Saccharomyces cerevisiae S288C: one gene and its partner. The protein of the gene in region 1 binds, or shares a complex with, the protein of each later gene. Each region holds a gene or a part of one and is shown in the gene's direction. Other genes may lie near its edges. The genes, in order: PCF11 and RNA15.

What was found.
Region 2: PCF11 (region 1) and RNA15 share a complex: the UniProt entries of both Saccharomyces cerevisiae proteins name them as parts of the CFIA complex.

The regions. Positions count from the first base shown.
Region 1 is NC_001136.10:920,287-927,508, reverse strand, and holds PCF11 (Pcf11p), read left to right. Parts: upstream 1-3,702; coding exon 3,703-5,583; downstream 5,584-7,222. Other genes in the region: HEM1 (5-aminolevulinate synthase), read right to left, coding at 1-57; COX20 (Cox20p), read left to right, coding at 599-1,216; IVY1 (Ivy1p), read right to left, coding at 1,363-2,724; chromatin-silencing protein SIR4, read right to left, coding at 5,862-7,222. UniProt on the Saccharomyces cerevisiae protein: Component of the cleavage factor IA (CFIA) complex, which is involved in the endonucleolytic cleavage during polyadenylation-dependent pre-mRNA 3'-end formation and cooperates with cleavage factor NAB4/CFIB and the cleavage and polyadenylation factor (CPF) complex.
Region 2 is NC_001139.9:413,742-420,329, reverse strand, and holds RNA15 (Rna15p), read left to right. Parts: upstream 1-3,293; coding exon 3,294-4,184; downstream 4,185-6,588. Other genes in the region: porphobilinogen synthase HEM2, read left to right, coding at 1-803; DPC13 (Dpc13p), read right to left, coding at 1,041-1,505; YGL041C-B (uncharacterized protein), read left to right, coding at 1,444-1,626; transcription elongation factor DST1, read right to left, coding at 1,918-2,847; RIM8 (Rim8p), read right to left, coding at 4,600-6,228. UniProt on the Saccharomyces cerevisiae protein: RNA-binding component of the cleavage factor IA (CFIA) complex, which is involved in the endonucleolytic cleavage during polyadenylation-dependent pre-mRNA 3'-end formation and cooperates with the cleavage factor NAB4/CFIB and the cleavage and polyadenylation factor (CPF) complex.

The DNA.
Region 1 (7,222 bases):
CAGTGTGGAAACAGCGGCAGAGGAGTTACCGAACCTCGCAAAAATGGAGCGTTGCATACTGAAAAAAAAACCTAAGTACTGTTATGATTATTGAGGGACAACAACTAGCTCTATTAGTTTTCCTTCCAACCAAACTTATATGGGCAATATATAGGAAAGAAAAAAGAAAAGAGTGGGATAAAAAAAAAAGAAACGCGAGCTGAGAAGGGAAGGCGTGTAAAGGAAGAACGGTTGAGAGACAGCAGAGCAGGGTGCAACACACAACCGAATAGAGTATCAGCTGACGGAATGGAGAAGTTTGGTATGATGCAAACGTTGTATTTCTAACAACGCATGGATCAGAACAATGGGCAAGGCAAGATGAAAAATTTCCGTTCCTGCTCTTTCTTCATATATGAACAATGACCAAAAAGCGCCCGCGGCCGCAGACCAATGAGCGACGAAGGCGGCCTTTCCGAGCGGTAGGGTAAGCCGTGCAGGCAAGCTTATTATAGCACCGTCGGGGGTACCACCACTATATCAAACTCCACTGCTCGGTAAAGCATTGTAGTGAAGTCCACAGCAGTGCGTAACGAGCAGCTCAACAGTTAATATAAAGATGCGTTGGTGGCCGTGGTCAAATCAGACAGAAGATCAAAAGCAGCAGCAACAACCGCAGGGTAAAGCAGATGGTGATCGCGTGCTGACAAATTACTCGCGGGGTCAAAAGATCCTCTTAGAAGACACTCCACCCAAGTTTGCCGATGACTTGTCCAATTCTCAGTTGGCCAAGAAGCAAGAACGGGCTACTTTGAAAGAGGCTTGGGACTCGATCAGATGGAGTGATTTTAGTTTGCAGAAGCTGACTTCAATCCCGTGCTTCAGAGACGCGGGCATGCTCGGGTTTTCCAGCATGTTCTTGATGGGATCTATTATATTTATATACCATAAGAGCCCGACTAAGGCCACGAATTGGGCGATGAGCTCTCTGATACTGGGCTCGATTGTCGGATGGGAGCAATGTAGGCTAAAGAGACAAAAAAGTTTCCAGATCGCACAATTGGCAAAGGAAACCGTGGCGAAAAAGGAAAAACCAATGCTCCATAATGTCCCTCATGACCCATCTCTGCCGGGGCAATGGGAGGCCGCCAAAAATGAAAAGCAGAGTCAGTTTGAACAAAGTAACCAGAATTTATCTCAGGCCTCCTCTGAGAAGAAATGGTACAAGTTCTGGTGAAAAGAACGAGGGGGAAACAGAAGGTAGAAGCAGGGCCTTTTAACCGTTTTCCTATGTATATATGCAACATTTCTCCGAAAATACTATAACTTCAATTGTTCACTTTCTCCATTTCTATATAAAAAGCATACATAGAGTTACAAATTTTATATATTACTTGACTGGTCTTGCATGCCGTCCGTATCGCTGCTGTGATTGTCATTATCTTCTTTAATGGACAATTGTTTAAACGTTTGTGTGGTTTCCTCGGCAGAGTTTCTCGTAGGCGGTAAAGAAAATGAATTTTCTGTTCCCATCAAATTGTCTGTATCCTCATCTTCGCCATTTTTGCCGCCGCCATTGTTTCGTACCCCGTCCTTGTTTGAACTTGACTGTGAATGATTCGGTGTGGATACCGTTGAGGACCCCTTGGATTTGGGTAAAGATGTTTTTGATGTGGAAGGTTGGCTGGTTCCTTCTAGTAGTTCATTGAGCACCACGTCATTCCCACCCGTTTCCTCATCGCTGTTGTATGCTTCTCCAGCAGTCTCTCCATCACCACCGATGGTCCCGTATGGCCCATCTGCTTTTTTGCTGAAGGGGTCGTCTGCATCACAAAGTAGTTCGTCTAGCCCGCCTCCAGACCAACCTTTCCTTGCAATATTTTCAGAAATTTCCACTTGTGCCCTAGATACCGTGGCAACTTTGCTGAGTACTTTGTTGCATGTATTTTCCACAAGTTCGTATGAATCCATGTAAAAATCGTGCTTTAGTGTCTCCAGTTGATCTAACCTTGCTTGCAAGCTAGAAAGGCTCTCTCGGTATGAGATTAAATTCCTTATTTTTCTTTTCGAGATATCGAAGTTATGTCTTTCCTGCAATTTCAATTTTAAACTTTGCTCTTTGCTTTGTGCTTTGAACTTGTTCTCCATTATCTTGGTCTGTAATTCGAATTCATCAATATCATCAATTAAATTATCTCCCAACAAGTCATTGAAATACTTTGACATTATAAGCTGATGATTAGATAAAAGGTAGAATAACCCACTGGCACTCAATAGTTTCTCCGCCGTTTCATCATTGCAACCCTTCAACTTGGCAATGTTTTCTAAGGAATGGGCAATTTCTGCCCCATTCTGAGATGTCTTTAATAACGAATCCGAATAAGCATTCGAGTTCCTGAGTAATGTCGATAGGGCTTCCTGGGTCTCTTTCACATCTCTCTTTGTGATTAGCGTTTGCAAGTCGTTTATTGTGCTCGTACCAGAAGTTATGCTCGATGCCCGACGGGCCTTTGAATACACTTTGGATGAACGTAAATGGTTCATGTCGTCCAGATGGTCGTTATTTTCTGAGCCAGCACTGCTAGCCACTGGTCTTTTACTATTTACAATTGGGTAAAATTCAGATAGATGAGGCGCGTATCTGTCGGGAGAGACGTCAAAATGGTTACCGTTGTCCCAGTCAACCCTCAGTCTCTGGTCACTTGAAGGAGATCCCTGCAATTGCTCCGTATTATTGTCAGGCATATCCGATTTCTCTTCCTGTTACTTTCTTTAACAATATTTTATTCCTTGGTGAAATTTAATTGACCCTTTATTCAGAATATATACTTCTATTGTATGGATATGGTTTTTTTCCACTTAATGTTTAGCATAAATTTCCATCTCACCCTTTTCTTGTAACATATCGCCCAATATTTTTTTCTTTTGCCCGCATTGACCATTTTTTCCTGTAAAACGAGTAATGTGAGCAGTAGAATAAGTGTATATCATCCGTTAAATAAGGCGCAATCTACCGAAGTTTGAGATCTAACTCAAGTTTTTATAAATTAGATACGTTTTTCCTTACTATTCTACATGAGATGGCCATTAGCATGAGATGACTTCAATACGCACTTCTGTTGGAACGCAGATAGGATGTTTACACTCGTCTGCTCTATTCTTTGTACTTTCAATAGAGCAAAGCAAGTGGTACCAATGAAGAGAAGGCCCAGCTGTTTTATTCCAGCGGCGAAGAAGTCTAGCCTATTCCTAATGTATTAGTACAGCTATACAGAACTTTCTCAGTCTAATTTTTGATGTACTTTTATACATAGATTTACACACTTTTCAAAACGTACTTACGTAGTCGGTTCAAGGGATACACCAATTTAGCCAATGAAGCTGGGCCCCAAGTGATCAGAGTTTCGTAATTGAGCTAGGATTTGCTGCTTTTTATTCCCTTTATCACCAAATGGTATTACCTAGTGCATCTAAGTTTTAGTTTACCCGGGCGAATTTTTTTTAAGGACTCGACGCATTGGATGAGAACTTGGCCTAAGGCATGGGAAGAAAGCGAAATTTCAAAAATTAATGAGACAATGTTGTTCTACTGTTAAGGGTTTAGTAGTTTAAAAGTCTCTCTTTCAATTTTGCATTGCAAAGAATTACCAGGACAATTTTCGGAGCAGTTAAGAAAACTGTACTTGAAAACACTAGGTCTATTTGTAATACTCTCTTTTCATTATGGATCACGACACAGAAGTTATAGTCAAGGATTTCAACAGTATTCTTGAAGAATTAACTTTTAACTCGAGACCCATTATTACCACTCTCACGAAGTTAGCAGAAGAAAACATTTCGTGTGCTCAATATTTTGTTGACGCCATTGAGAGTAGAATTGAAAAATGTATGCCTAAGCAGAAGCTATACGCTTTTTATGCCTTGGACTCCATTTGTAAGAATGTTGGCAGCCCATACACAATCTACTTCAGTAGAAATTTGTTTAACTTGTACAAAAGAACATACTTATTGGTGGACAACACCACAAGAACAAAACTCATCAATATGTTTAAGCTTTGGTTGAATCCTAATGACACCGGCCTGCCTCTGTTTGAAGGCTCAGCACTGGAGAAAATTGAACAGTTTTTAATAAAGGCCAGTGCTCTCCACCAGAAAAACCTGCAAGCAATGTTACCAACTCCGACTGTTCCCCTCCTATTAAGAGACATTGATAAATTAACTTGTTTAACTAGTGAAAGGCTAAAGAATCAACCAAATGATGAAAAATTAAAAATGAAACTGTTGGTTTTATCTCAGTTGAAACAAGAACTGAAAAGAGAAAAACTAACTCTCAATGCTCTGAAACAAGTTCAAATGCAACTAAGGCAGGTCTTCTCACAGGACCAACAAGTTTTGCAGGAAAGAATGAGGTATCACGAACTTCAGCAGCAACAGCAACAACAGCAGCAACAGCAACAACAACAACAGCAGCAGCAGCAGCAGTATCACGAAACTAAGGATATGGTCGGTTCTTACACACAAAACTCTAATTCAGCGATTCCATTGTTTGGAAATAATTCAGATACAACGAACCAACAGAATTCTTTATCTTCCTCTCTTTTTGGTAATATTTCTGGCGTTGAATCTTTTCAAGAAATTGAGAAAAAAAAGTCCCTAAACAAAATCAATAACCTCTATGCATCTCTTAAGGCTGAAGGGCTCATATATACTCCACCAAAAGAATCCATCGTAACGCTTTATAAAAAGCTAAATGGACACTCAAACTACTCTCTTGATTCACACGAAAAACAATTGATGAAGAACCTGCCAAAGATACCCTTATTAAATGATATTCTTTCTGACTGCAAAGCTTATTTTGCCACGGTTAACATCGACGTTTTGAATAACCCATCCCTGCAGCTGTCCGAACAAACTCTTCTTCAAGAAAATCCCATCGTCCAAAATAATCTTATTCACTTATTATACCGATCCAAGCCAAATAAATGTAGCGTGTGTGGTAAGAGATTTGGCAACTCAGAAAGTGAAAAACTACTACAAAATGAGCATTTGGACTGGCATTTCAGAATAAATACAAGAATTAAGGGATCACAAAACACAGCAAATACAGGCATAAGCAACTCTAACTTAAATACAACTACCACAAGGAAAAATATTCAATCAAGAAACTGGTATTTGAGTGACTCTCAATGGGCAGCCTTCAAAGATGATGAAATTACCTCCACAAAGCATAAAAATGATTATACTGATCCGCATGCCAATAAAAATATCGATAAAAGTGCCCTAAATATTCACGCTGATGAAAATGACGAAGGCTCTGTAGACAACACTTTAGGAAGTGATAGAAGTAACGAGTTGGAAATACGGGGAAAATATGTTGTTGTACCAGAAACTTCACAAGATATGGCCTTCAAATGTCCAATTTGTAAGGAAACCGTTACTGGCGTTTATGATGAAGAATCTGGTGAATGGGTTTGGAAAAATACTATTGAAGTGAATGGCAAATATTTCCACTCGACATGTTATCATGAAACGTCGCAAAATTCAAGCAAATCTAATAGTGGCAAGGTCGGTTTGGATGACTTAAAGAAATTGGTCACAAAATAAGAGCAGAACTGCATATATACATTTAAATTTAATAACTATATATTATATTAAATTCTTTGTTCTTGGTATTTGATGGGTTGCTCATTTGTTTATTTTTTTTTTTTTTTTTTTTGCTTATGTGTCCATTATATTATATGTAATTTTACATATGTAGCCAAAAGCCCAACTAATCATTAAAATCGATTAAAGACCGTAAAGTAAATTGTTCATTATAGAAGAAAACGACAAAGAAAAACAGGGTACACTTCGTTACTGGTCTTTTGTAGAATGATAAAAAGTCAATACGGTTTTATCTCCTTATTCACTTGAAAATCTTTTTCCATCAATTTGTTAATTTTAGCATCTTTTTCAGATATTTGACTTCTCGCATTTTCAAGACATTTCTTTGTAAAAGTTAAATCACCTTGAAGTGAAGTTATTCTAATTTCATTCCTCATAACTTCATCTGACAAAGACCGAATAATTTCATTTGCAACAGCCAATTGTTTTTCCTTTTCATCCAGCGCCGATGCTGCTTTCGACAAAACGATATCCACAAAGGAAAGACCATCTTCTTTCATGTCCTTCGAACATTCGGTGACACTATCCTTATTATCAATTTCAAGTTCTGTTTTTTGGGTTGATGTGTACATATTTGATTGTTGAGTACCAGTTTGTGAATGTGTTCCTAAAACGTCAACACTAGTTAAAATTTCTGTTGTATTACTGTCTGTTATATCGTCGAGTTGTTTCACTCGACGATCTTCAACGATTGGAACCCTTTTTCCAACAGAAAAATAGCCGTAGGACGCAGGTCTTGAGAAAGAGAGTGAGATGTTTTCTGATGCGTGCTTCCCATTTCCAGGGATTATTTTTGCTTTGTTAGAATTAAAAATACTGTCGAATTGCTTCTTTTCTGGTAGGGTTTTCGTTTCCATTGTGCTCAGCTGCACCAAAGACTTCACATCTGGCGGAGAAGAAGGCTTCACATTTTTAACCATTAACGGTTTTTTTGTAATTTGCAGTATATCCTTAGGCATAATTTTGGCATCTGCCATATGCTCGGGCTCGACCACATGTGGTTTGACCGACGTGGATATAGAAACAGGTTCACAGGACTTCTGAATATCAAATCCCATGTTGGAAACAAATCTCTGAGTCTTCATAAATGACCAAAATCTGGCTTTTTTTGCATCAGGCTTGTTCTGTAATTCGTTGTAGTAAATCTTAATTTCAGAACTCATTGGGTAATCTTCTATTTCACCTTTCAGTATAATGATGTCACTCTCTCTAAAATTATTGGAAATTGCTGATTTAAGGTTGTTAGCAAATATATCTTTAAGTAACTGCATTTTTTCGTTAATTATTTGTCTATCACTGTCGGAAAGCTCCGAAGGGAACTCATCAACCAACGAAACGGAAATAAGTTTCAAATTTGCAAGCCATTCTTGCCTCCAAGAGCTTTTTGAAAGGTTCTCCTTCGTGTTTTTGGGTTTGCTAGAATTAGTATCACTATGCGACACTCTTCTATTGCTTTTAGTAGGCGTGGTACTTAGCTTTGTTTCTTCGAATCCTAATGGAGAAGACACGGTTGGAATTTGGGATGGTTTAGCGGAAGAAGAATTTTGTTCTTGGCTATGTTTCCCTATATTGATATTTT
Region 2 (6,588 bases), on another chromosome or scaffold:
AGCCATTAGTGGCCAAGGGTTTGCGTTCTGTGATCTTGTTTGGTGTGCCTCTCATCCCTGGTACCAAGGATCCAGTGGGTACAGCGGCTGACGATCCTGCAGGGCCAGTCATTCAAGGTATTAAATTCATTCGTGAGTATTTCCCTGAACTGTATATTATTTGCGATGTCTGTCTCTGTGAATACACTTCTCATGGCCATTGCGGGGTTCTATACGATGATGGTACTATTAATAGAGAACGTAGTGTCTCTAGATTAGCAGCTGTGGCAGTTAACTACGCTAAAGCTGGTGCGCACTGTGTGGCTCCCAGTGATATGATCGATGGTAGGATCAGAGATATTAAACGAGGCTTAATAAATGCAAACTTGGCTCACAAGACCTTCGTGTTATCCTATGCAGCTAAGTTTAGCGGTAATCTATATGGGCCATTCCGTGATGCTGCTTGTTCAGCTCCTTCGAATGGTGATAGGAAATGTTACCAATTACCTCCTGCCGGTCGTGGCCTGGCACGTAGGGCGTTGGAAAGGGATATGAGTGAAGGTGCCGACGGTATTATTGTTAAGCCTTCCACTTTCTACTTAGATATAATGAGGGATGCAAGTGAAATTTGTAAAGACTTACCAATCTGCGCATATCACGTGTCGGGCGAATACGCAATGTTACATGCTGCAGCTGAAAAAGGTGTTGTTGATTTGAAGACAATTGCCTTTGAATCTCATCAAGGTTTCTTGAGGGCGGGTGCCAGATTAATCATCACTTATTTGGCTCCTGAGTTCCTAGACTGGTTAGATGAAGAAAACTAAAAAAAAACGTGCTTACCTTGTGAATAGTAAAAATAATGATGTCAATATGACAAATGTAACAGTGCTGGCAGTATATCCCTATTTGGCAAGCTTTATAATATGCAAAGATGCGACCTAGTATACGATACAATGGAAATTATGTAATCCTCCTAATGAGTATTTATGTAGTAGTACGTAATATTTATACACGGAAGGCGCTAGTAAGACAGATAGGTAATGTTTTTTTACTTTCACCTCTCATTTTTTCTTCTCAAGGCCTAAAACGGTCATTAGCGGGGCCAGTTGTTCAGGTCCTAACTGTATGCCAGATTTTTCCAATTCCAATTTAAATTCCTTCATAGCGTGTCTCAGATCTCTGTCCATTAAGATCTTAATCATTTGCCATGGTTTCATCGTATTTTCTTCATTGGCAGAAGTCCCATCTAGATTAACCAATTTTTTTTCGATCATGATATTGCTAACCTTTTCTAACTTTTCCAGAACATTAGGCCTCGAATTTATTTGATCCATGAGTTTCTGCACCTTTATGTGTGCATCTATTTTGTCATTAGGCTGTCTGTCGTCCCAAGATTGAGCGTAAAATCTTCTCGGAGAAATCCAGGAAAGCCTCCTTAAACTCCTGGTGTGATTAGTGGTAGAAATGTTCGATAGTTCTATCGAACGAGTGACTCTGGAACTATGCTTCCATATAACTCTTAGCATTATGTGTGGCTGTAGTATCTACTTTCTGCTTCTTGTGTTTATTCTAACTTTTTATTCGTCGGTTTTGTTACATCTTAAATTGTATTTCTTTAGTTCTGACCGAGCCATATTTAATGCATAGAAGATTAATAAAGAAAACATGAAAATCATAAATAATTAAAAGTAACTGGACGAACAAAAGATTTTACGTGAGACAGACAAAAAAAATTAACACCAGCAGTATATGTATATATGTACATCGTATATGAATATGCCATTTCAACAAATTGGATATGGTTGTATGTTTGGCTTTTTCTTTTCCTGGATTCCGGCTGTCAAATACTACTACGAATAGAGTCAGAACAGGCTTTTCTGTCCCTTCCTCCTATTGTTTCCTTTGCTCTGTCCGTGGCTACTCTCATCTTTTTCTATTCTAAGAGAATTTCCATCTGTTACCACATGCTTCACATGTACAGAAAGTGGTCAATGGTTCATCCGCAGATCTTGTTTGCAATTGATAGTAAGATACCTTCTTCTCTTTACATTTACCACATGTAAATCTATCGGTGACTGACCTTTCTATGGTGGCACCCTGTGCGTTGTATAAGTTTTGCTTGGCAATTTCTTCTATCTTTTGCTTTAAGGGCGCTGGTGCCAGATCCTTGGCATCGCATGTAGCTAAGAATTCAGGTGTTATATCACCGTTGGCAATTTTATGTTTGAGATCTGGGTTATTCTTTGATATGACGTTTGAATAAATTATACGATACCTGGCTTTGTAAGCGGCTTCGTTGGTGTCACAGTTGTTAACTTTATTCATTTCACTTTCTATGGCCTTTGCAGTATGCAAAATAGATTGAGGTGGATGCTCACTTTCCTTGGCCAAAACGTCGTAGAGTGCTTTTAGTACCTGATCACGTAATTTGTGGTGGTATATAGCTGTATCCACACCATCGTTCTTACTATTTCTTGGTTTAGTGCTGACGTACTTGTCTTGTTTCATGGCATCTGACTGGGAGGAGGCCGGCTGTTGAACACCATTCACGGACTCACCTACAGTTGTCTTGTCCTCTGCATTGCCTGGCGCATGATCTTGATGATGCTGCTGTGCTTGCCTGGAACGCTTATTTTTATTAATTGCGTCTTTCCAAGAGCTAATCATTTTCTTCACGAGTTTGCTGATCTCTACATTAGTGGATTTTTTAAACTTGTTGACTTCCACACCAACTTTTGTTTCTCTCAGTAACTTTTCAGTGGGGACGAATTCTTTATCCAAGACATGTAAGATTTCTAGAACTGCAGCATCATTACTTTTGTTCTTTTCTAGATTCTTAACATGTACCAGTACTTCCTTACTATCCATGATGAATGCTCTTATGCGGACTGACTACACTGTGAATGTTCTGCTGCTTGAGTAATTTTTCATTCAATATTTTTCAATACGTAGTCCCATCATCGAGTGATCACTTGGTCATATCAGCACAGTGGGGCGGGTAAGAGTTGAAAATTTCCCTATAATGAAATTGGATATTATATATCAAAAAGGCGTTGTCATTCGAAGCATCGTTTCAAAAGAAGGTCCGTAAAGTTAAGGTGGGCTAGTGAAGTATCTCATAATTGTTACAATCACCATAAGAGAAATCTTGCGTTTAGAATTTCCTAAGAGAACCGAGTCACTTCTAGCACTTGCTTTAAACAGAAACACTTGTAATAATTGTTAGAGGGATATACAAGAAAGGCTATATACCAATAGCATCACATAGACACGTTAATTATCAATACATTGAAAGAAAAGACGAAAACGATAAAATGAATAGGCAGAGCGGTGTGAATGCGGGGGTACAGAACAACCCACCATCCCGAGTGGTGTATCTGGGTTCTATACCATACGATCAAACAGAGGAGCAGATACTTGATTTATGTAGTAATGTTGGGCCCGTGATCAATTTGAAAATGATGTTCGACCCCCAAACTGGTAGGTCGAAAGGGTACGCGTTTATTGAATTTAGAGATTTAGAGTCCAGTGCCAGCGCAGTACGTAATTTGAATGGATACCAATTAGGCTCTAGGTTTTTGAAATGCGGTTACTCCAGCAATAGTGATATATCGGGAGTTTCACAACAGCAACAACAACAGTACAACAACATTAATGGGAACAATAACAACAATGGAAATAATAATAATAATAGTAATGGGCCGGACTTTCAAAACAGCGGAAATGCCAATTTTCTAAGTCAAAAGTTTCCAGAATTGCCCTCTGGTATCGACGTTAACATAAACATGACCACCCCTGCTATGATGATATCGAGCGAACTAGCTAAAAAACCGAAAGAGGTGCAGTTGAAATTTTTACAAAAATTCCAAGAATGGACAAGAGCGCATCCTGAAGATGCTGTTTCGCTATTAGAGCTGTGTCCACAGTTGAGTTTTGTTACGGCTGAATTATTGCTAACGAATGGGATATGTAAAGTGGATGATTTGATCCCGTTAGCTTCCAGGCCGCAAGAAGAGGCATCGGCTACGAATAACAATAGCGTGAACGAGGTGGTGGATCCAGCTGTGCTTAACAAACAGAAAGAACTACTGAAACAGGTGTTACAACTGAATGACAGTCAAATTTCTATCTTGCCCGATGATGAAAGGATGGCTATTTGGGACTTAAAACAAAAAGCATTAAGGGGAGAATTTGGTGCATTTTGAAACTAGGGAGGCAAAAATACAAAAAAAAAATGCGGTTCCGCAATGATGAGGCAACAATCTATCATATTTTCCACGTGAGGGAGCTCAAAGTTCGGTATATAGCTTACATCTCAATATCACAATCACTTTTTTTTTTGACGTCTTTATAAATATAGAATAACGTTTACGTTACTGCTATTTTTTCGTTTCTTATCTCAGTTTGCCTGAGGACGGCTATAGTTTTAATCATTAAACGTATATTAAGTACACATGAACATATATAAATCTCAGGTTTGTGCATGCTTCGATTTTTTTTTTCTATGTTAATGTCATGGATCATTACGTGGCTGGGATAGTGGAAATATGCAAACATGATTAAGGCGCCTAGTTCCAACACGGCGCAAGCTGCGAGTATATGACTTGTTACCTGCACTTTTTAATAGTCATCACAAGGGGGAGGATCGCTTTCTAACTGTTGTAGTCTTTTTTGTTCAAGTTCTTGTTTGTCTTCCGACGGTACACTGACTTTATCATTTGGCGAATACTTTGGAACTGGAACATCGTCACTATCATATGCATTTAATGGGGCCAACCAATCTCTTAAATTCGATGGAGAATTTTGAGGAGCCGTGATTGAGGATTGGGATGGGATGCTTGCATCAGATTGCTGCTGTTCGGATCTCGTCGTTCCTATGACGGTTTCTATGGACATACCAGTTACATTCCTCAGTCTCTTTAGCTTTTCCACATTTACCATATCTTTGAAAAATATACTGGATTCATAACCCTCAGAATCGTTCTCCAACGTTTCTGGATTGACCATACGTAGCATTTTCCTTTGGATACGGTTGATATTATTCTCTACGCCCAAGCCATTTTGTTCTCCAATAGGAGTTCCTATTATTCTATTAGATTCTGTGTAAACCACGTTTTTTTTTGATAAGTTAACCATAACCTCGATATAGTATTGGAAGGAGAAAAATTTTCCCACAGTAGTAAGGGTCGAAAATGCATCAAGGGGCACTTTCAGATAAACTCTAGATTGAAACTGCAACGTTTCAGGGTTAATATATATAGGAGAGATACTCTGACATATATCTTTTCTGAAAGTCTCCATAGGATCATCTTTGCCTGCACCGCCCACCCTACATATCCTCACCAAAGTGGTGGTGAGACCCGCAGGGGCATAGAAAGGCTTATAGTGGTCAATCTTAACGTCTATAGGGATAATTTCACCAATCATGAATCCAGCCTGCGGTATGTCTACGGATATAGTCACCGTTTTATTTGGTAAGGGGGACGTCTTGGAGTTTACTGAACTGCTAGAAGAATTAGAAGTAGTAGACTTTTGAGTTAATTGTGTATACGATGAGGATTCGTCCTCTGTAGATTTGTTCTTTTTGTTTTGGACCATAGATGCTGATTGTAAAACCACTGTCTTAGTTTTCGGCTTGGGCAGCCTCGAGACGTCCAGCGGAACTATGACTGCAAACTCACGTTCGCATCTTGCTTCCGGTTTTTTTAATCCGTTGATGTTGTTGAGGGATTCTAAAGTGCAAGAGAGGAAGTATGTTATCGAGCCCCTTTCGAACTTTATAGAGCTCAACATTCCTCTGCCTCGTGGTATTCGTATCCTAAAGGGAAACCTGTGTTCCCCCTTGCTTAAACCATTGAGAATGGTGGTTTTGTCAACATGCGGTTTCTTTTCCTTAGCCGAAAAAGCTGTCTTTACGTAGTCCTGTCCATAAAGAAACGTCGACTTCTCTAAGGTTTTCTCAATTCTCTTATTCTTGGAGGTTGGACTGTTCCCCGTTTTCACGCGAACCTCACATACTAGCGATAATTTGATCGCTACGTTAGTTATGTCTCTCTTTATGTCAATGACCGCTTCTCCGGTTATGCTTTCATTCGGTTTCCATACTCTATGCGGTTCGTCTATGTCTATACGAAATTGCTTCACGTTGTTATGGGCCAGCATGCTGTTGCCGTAACTGCCAACAATACCATGACTCTTTATTTTTGATGGTGCCCTTGATTCTTTGTTCCACAGTCTCAGTAACGACATGTTTGGTCAATGCTACCGATAGTGAGGGTGATGCTGATGATACTATACTAGCGTACTTTGGCTTTAACGTTAAAATCTTGTACGTGCGTGAGATGATGCGTATTCGGGGATGTCTATTTTCTATTTTTTTTTTTTCTTCGTCTAGATTGTTACTTTTGACTCAATAGAGCTTAGACAATAATACTATAAGGAACTTTGAAGAAGAAATCAAATGTAAGGGGAAAAGGAAAGGGTATAAGCCTAAGAAAAATGGCACCTGCAGAAATTGCTAGACAGTAGAACGTGTTTTGAAGCCAATCGTTGGGATTGGAGCGGAAAAGTCCAAGAACAAATAACGAAGAAAGAAAACAAAGAAAGGCG